Bombyx mori: one gene and its partner. Each later gene encodes a partner of the first gene's protein in a complex. Links are inferred from orthologs where the notes say so. Each region holds a gene or a part of one and is shown on either strand. Other genes may lie near its edges. The genes, in order: general transcription factor IIH subunit 4 and DNA-directed RNA polymerase II polypeptide.

The links.
Region 2: general transcription factor IIH subunit 4 (region 1) and DNA-directed RNA polymerase II polypeptide share a complex: the UniProt entries of both Homo sapiens proteins name them as parts of the TBP-based Pol II pre-initiation complex. The link is inferred for Bombyx mori from reciprocal best matches to the Homo sapiens genes GTF2H4 and POLR2C.

What each region holds. Positions count from the first base shown.
Region 1 is NC_085125.1:212,651-216,486, forward strand, and holds part of general transcription factor IIH subunit 4, read right to left. Parts: intron 2,984-3,836; coding exon 2,911-2,983; intron 2,832-2,910; coding exon 2,724-2,831; intron 379-2,723; coding exon 295-378; intron 124-294; coding exon 1-123. UniProt on the Homo sapiens protein: Component of the general transcription and DNA repair factor IIH (TFIIH) core complex, which is involved in general and transcription-coupled nucleotide excision repair (NER) of damaged DNA and, when complexed to CAK, in RNA transcription by RNA polymerase II.
Region 2 is NC_085131.1:5,447,848-5,450,847, forward strand, and holds DNA-directed RNA polymerase II polypeptide, read right to left. Parts: upstream 1,665-3,000; 5' UTR 1,554-1,664; coding exon 726-1,553; 3' UTR 695-725; downstream 1-694. UniProt on the Homo sapiens protein: Core component of RNA polymerase II (Pol II), a DNA-dependent RNA polymerase which synthesizes mRNA precursors and many functional non-coding RNAs using the four ribonucleoside triphosphates as substrates.

The DNA of each region.
Region 1 (3,836 bases):
GCGGTAGTTGGTCTCCAGCACGAGGTGTCCGCGCGCGCCGGCGGCGGCCTCGAGCGGCGCGGCGCAGCGCACGCGCAGGATGTTGAGCGCGAGGCGGGTGGGGTAGAAGCGGCCCGCCTTGCGCTGCGACACACGGCAGAGGTTGGGCCCGGTCCCCGCGCGCGGCGGACCCTAGTCGCCACTCGGACGTCCGGTGTCCGCCCGCCCACGGTTGCCCACAGACAGACAGTTACAATGCCATATAGTGTGGCGCGGGGCAGCTCCGCGACGCCCGAGTGGCGCGCAGATACCGACCTTCCTCTGGTAGACGAGGCCGAACTCCCGCAGGTGCTGCAGGAACACCAGCATGTTGTTGCTCATGCCCTCCGTGCTGTAGTCCTGCGGACGAGACGCGCGGCACTCTTTTATTTTATTCTTATATTAAAATAAAACAGACCTCATCTATCTATTTTTGTATGATATTAAATGAGCGTTGAATTACAGAAAACCAATTTTTAATGAAATATTTTAATAAATATTAACTTGATCAATACATTTCTTTTATAAAATATGCTTGACCTCAAATGTCATCACGATTGAATTCATTCAAACAGATACTTTAAGTTAATAATTTTCCACATACCACATATACTCTGTGCTGTATCTGTGCTCTTTGTAAGGCTCAGATATCAATGACTTTTTAGCGGGAACGCGAGGAGTGAAGTTGTGTGATTTGTTTTATTTTGTCTATTTAGTGTTTCTTCGGGTTTAAATGTGTAATAATGGTGGTTTATTAACTGTTTAATATCTGTGAAAGTGCACAAATGTGGGAAAATGAAACAAAGCTGCTGGACGTAACTTCTCGGGTTCCTCCAAAAAGTCCACTGAAAAAATCTCAGTAAATGACCACCATTTTACTGCGATTATATTTCATCCCATATCATTTCATTTCATTAAATTTCATTTCATCCCAGTTGATTAATGTCTCAAATTAATCATATTCATTTCATTTCACTCCATATTATCATTTTTCATAAAATTAAGAATATAAAGTAAAATAAGACATGACTTAAAGGTCTCGGTTACTAGGTCATAAAATCTCTTAAAAAAAAAACAGATATCAATTTTATTACAGTCTTACTGATAATTTCAAAACACTTATATAATTTCAACTCTAAGCGTGAACACTTTTAGAACTTGTCCATCCCGCAGTATATTACACACATTACATATATTACATACAATCCGGACACATATTCAGAGATGTTGTATCGTATTGAACATTTTCAAATAATTATGAAGTGGATGGGAAAAGGCCTCGGGGGCGCTTCCCGATAAGTTGGTCCGACCAGATCCGCACCGCTCTTGATCCCACACTTCACAACGCCCTCCACACCGCCAGAGACAAAAATAGTTGGAGAAAGGTCATGCGTGCGAAGGTGATACAGAAGGGTGGTCGCGACCCTCAGCAGTGAGAGGAATACGACGCAAGAAGGAGGAGAATAAAAAAATAACTATATTGTATATTTTAAAAAGCAATTAGAATATATTTTTTAAATTGATGATATTTTTAAACAAAGTCCGATTTGTATAGGTACTCGCGAGTTGTGGGCGTAATGAAGTCTGCTCTGACGTACATTCCCGCGTGTTCTAGTGTCAGTGTAACAGTGCGGGCGGCGGCCCCGGCTACTGGACCATTGAGCACGTCGTTAACGACATTGAGGCAACAGACAGCGCGGGATAAGCCGCTCAAGTAGTTTGAATGATTGTGTTGTTCCGGCGGACAGCGCGCAGGCTCCGAGTGATAACGATACGGTACGGAACAGGTTTTTTTGAAGTGAAAACTTGGGAAGCAGAAATCGGCAAAGTGGTGGTACCTACCCGCGCGGACTCACAAGAGGTCCTACCACCAGTAATTACGCAAATTATAATTTAGCGGGTTTGATTTTTATTACACGATGTTAAGTCAATCGTGAACATTTGTTGAGTACGTATTTCATTAGAAAAATTTGTATCCGCCTGCGGGATTCGAACACCGGTGCATCGGTCAGCACGAATGCACCGGACGTCTCATCCTTTAGGCCACGACGATGAAATTAAAAAGCGACTTTTTTTGCTTACCTGGACTTGTAGCCTTGGGAGGCTCTTTCAGCTTCTCCTTGACGTGTAGGTGAGCTCACGGGGCTTAACCGGGGGTGTTGCTAACACTGACCCTAGCAAGAGCAGTGCTTCGCAGAATCTACTACCGGATCGGAAACGCGTCCCACTGAGAAGATCCGGCGAGTCCGGCTGTGTCTATGAGTTAATTCACTCGTTGAGCCCTTCGTCGCAAGCGACGGGTTCAACGAGGACGGTGACCGGTGCTTGAGGTACCTAAAAGCACCGTTAATGGATCGGGAGGATCCAAAATGACGTATTTAGGGCGACTTCGACTATTTACTATTCGGTCTACAGGATCGGGTATGTAGTTCCCAGCGGCCACGACAAGAGTTTTCATGTCGGGCCACCTTTAAAAAAGCGACAGTAAAAAGAGACTGACACATAAATTCTTAAGATTGAATAATATTCATAAGGTTTATATTATGGGTATAGTTCAGATTCATAAGATTTAACGCATTGAAACGGATGGCAACAATTACGTTGTTGTTCTTGTCTATGAGTTCTGGCGACCAGCGGGCGGTCGTGAGCTCGTTCGTCCATCTTAGCAATAAAAGTTTAACATTGGAAAAAATGATTATAGTCACCTTCCCCAGGGTGCTGAAGCTGAGCTGGTAGAGGAAGGCCAGGCACTCGGCGGCGCTGAGGCTGCGGCGCTCGGCCGTGTGCAGGTAGTGCTGCAGGAACAGCCACACCTGCGCACACACACGCGTCACACCCGCCGCCCCGCGAGGGCCGGGCTGGCCGGGCTCATCGCTCAGACACTGAACCGACCTGCTTGGGTGTACTCAGGAGCAGAAACTGGAAGCCGGCGCGAGTGATAACGGCGGACCCGTCTTCTGCGTCTCTGAAACATTACACGACCCGGGTGACGTCACACACTAGGGACGCGGACGGAGGAGGATGACATTTCCCACACTTATAGGCTGCGTTCCACTAAGCGTTCACAACGATCACGCTCACGACCGCAATTTTTTCCGTTCCACTTGCTTGTGAGCGTTACTGTCGTAAACTCAAGTGGAATGGATTTTAGAGTGTTTTGAGCGTGGAGTCCAGGTAAATAATACAAATGCCGAGTTAATAAAAAGATTTAAGAGGTTAGGTTATAATCTGTAAGCCTTGAAAATTAACCTTACTTATTATTGTTTAAATCGATTTATATTGAAAAAAATTATACATAATTTAATTTTTATTTAATATTAGTGGCGTATTTAATTAATTTACTTTCAAATGTAATTAAAATGTCTTTTGCGGCGGCACTAGGATATTTGGTAAGAGGTCGCAATAATGCTCCTGTGTGCTTAGTGCGAGTTTTTTAACGTTCTCGATAGCGTAAAAGTTAAGCCAATTCTGTATGCAGTTTGAACAGCGCCCCTAGCGGCAAACGTACGTAAACGATTCCATTCCTTACAAATATGAGCTAACTTTTACGCTATCGAGAACGTTAAAAAACTCGCACTAAGCACACTGATAGTATCTCTTTCCGCATGAAATAACGTAAGCTTAAAGGTCGCCATTTTTGATGCTTTGAGTTTTGAAAACGCCGCTAATTTTCTCAACGATCACTTCGACCCACCTTTTTAGATGGGTCGTCGTGAGCTTCGCGTGAGCGTAAGTTATGACGTCATAAGTGACGTTTTCGCCACGACCACAACGACTGCGGTCGTTATGTGGAACGACTAAAGGAGCATTTCGATCGT
Region 2 (3,000 bases), on another chromosome or scaffold:
TTGCCCCTGGCATTGCTGAAGTCCATGGGAGACGGTAACCACTCACCATCAGGTGGGCCGTATGCTGGTCTGTCTACAAGGGCAATTAAAAAATATACATCTAATGAATATTTTGAATTGTTTTTTGCAGTAAGATCACATCACTAATTGTTCTAAACAACAGAATAATACTGCTGTGTATAAAGTGACAAATGTTTTAATTGATTATGTATACATAATAATAAAACAATATTGGTTCTAAGTTTCTATACTTTTATGAAAGTTTAACTACTTAAATTAATATGTACAATGAATTAAACAGAAATTATTGTAACATTAATTTTTTTGTCCATATCTATGTATCAGAAAGTAAAATTTCCTTTTTTATTTAGTAGCTACTGAGTATCTTCTTAGGCAAAAAGCTGCAGATTATTATTAAATCATATGTTTCTTGTGATTACAAGGCCGTAGTATTAATTTGTGTTTAAAGTTGTATTCATGTTGTGCAAGTTGTGTATAAACCTCTTAATTGCATTCCACAAGTATTACTAGTTTTTGATGTGAAACAGAAACATTCACTTTAGTATGATTTTTTCTCAAAAAGACTGCAGACTGAAATACTGTGTATAACATTCTAAGCTTTTGAAAAATGAAGGCTTATACACACCATAAGGTAAAATGTAAACTTAAATTACAAAAACATTTATTATCTAATTAAATTTATTGTAATATTAGATTTTATGAAATCAATTAATTGCTAAGGCATCATTTTGTGCCTCTTGCGCTAACTGCACTTGAAGATTCAGTAATTTGTTTTTCAGTACAACTATTCCCATTAATACAATATTCTCTGGTTTAAGAGCTCCTGATGATTCTACATTATAAAAGAATTTGTTTGGTTTCGCTTCCCAGTTGAAGTCCGCCTCATACTGATCTTCATTAAGTTCAGTGTGCTCGCTTTTGGGCCATTCATCTGGTTTTGGATATAACGTATGTCTCATTATATTATCAGGGTCATATTCAAAGGACACACCAGCAGTTGGATTCCATTTTGCATGCTCTTTCCCAAAACCTTTTTTTGCATATGCCCGAAGCTTCAATTCCTGACCCTTGCGTAACTTAATGATCAATATTTCATCTGCTTCACCATAATCGGCCTGGTCTTCATCTCTATGTCGTGATGTAACAGGGACAACTCTAGGATCGCTCGATTTCAAATCAGCAGTTGTTACATGTCTTGTTTGTTCATCTGTGCATTTTACGTCTAATGTAAATTCGACACTGCATTCGGAACAAAAATCAACACACATGCAATCACGCGAGTACCTGATTTTGTCTACAACGTCGTCTGATATGAGCGGAATGAGACCGATGCGGTGTGCTAAGAATTCATCGCTCAAAACGGTGGAATTAGCTTCTAACTGTACCCAATCGATGGCCATTGTTGGTGTTTCAGCGATAAATACGCGTCTCATACTGTTTGCTACGCTTAATTCGGTATCTTCCACAACGAATTTTACATTTTCATCAGATAGTTCTGTTATGTGAACAGAGGGTTGATTTGCGTAAGGCATTTTCTGTTTCTTAAATCTAATTTAATGAATTAGGTTTCTTTTTAATGAAACTAACACCATCTAATATATAACAAAATAAATAACGAATAACACTTCCAAACAATCAACTTGTTAGCCAAATTCTAACCTCTGTGCTTGTCACATATTTTTTGTTTCATTTACTACACAGACAAAGGGAACGAAGCTCATACAACCAATTTTTTTGTAATAAAGATGTTTAACCTTGCTGGTGAATGAATGTAAAATGGAACTAAGCTAACCTTATGTATCATCATCATCAACTTATAGTAGTTCAACGCTGAAAATAGGCCTCTCCAATTGCCGAGCACGATCTTCAGCTTCTCTCACTCATTCTTGCCAGCCTTATGTATGTGTTGAATGAACTGAAATGATGTATATAACGTTTCGGTAAAATGCTGGAAATTAACTAAGAGCTCAATGGAGTTTTTGGAAGAAGCCAGTAGACCTGTAGTCGTCGTGGCCTAAAGGATAAACGTCCGGTACATTCGTATCTAGCGATGCAACGGTGTCCGAGTTCCGCAGGCGGGTACCAATTTTTCTAATGAAATACGTACTTGACATATTACATCGTGTAATAAAAGTCAAACCCGCAAAATTATAGTGTGAGTCCGGACGGGTAGGTACCACCACCCTGCCTATCTCTGCCGTGAAGCAGTAATGCGTTTCAGTTTGAAGGGTGGGGCAACCGTTGTAACTATACGGAGACCTTAGAACTTATATCTCAAGGTGGGTGGTGCATTTACGTTTTAGATGTCTATGGGCTTCAGTAACCACTTAACACCAGGTGGGCTGTGAGCTCGTCCACACATCTAGGCAACAAAAAAACCAAAGATGCCACATCCTGCGGTTAACTTTAATTTTCCCACTCTTTTCATCAATTAATTTCGGTAATTAAAATATGACTATAACGAGACTTCTTGTAGTTGTGGCTATGTAAATAAAGGACAACTAGGTTATCTTCGACATAAGCTATGTGCAGTGGCGTAACGATCTAAACTCGCGTGGAAACTCCCCTTTTTTCCTTTTTATTTACGAATTAACATTTATTATAGTACATTGGTACTAAATTAAAAATATATTTTTTAGAAATCAATTATAAAAAAAAAATCAGCAATTTTTTGTTTTGCGGACCATTTGGCGCCCCTTTGTGAATAGCGCCCGGGGCATGATCCCCCCTTGCCCCCCCTCGCTACGCCACTGGCTATCTCTATAAACCAAATCACTAAAATATATTCATATGTATTAATATTCACTAGAATATTATTAATTACGCAGTAAATAATGATTGTCGAGTTAACGTACTCCGTTGTTCCTTATCATTTCCAATTATAAACAACATTCAGTTAATAAATCTGTAGCTTGGCACTTGTGTTGCCAAATTAACTGTTACAAAATATATTTTAATTGGAACTATACTTGTACTGTA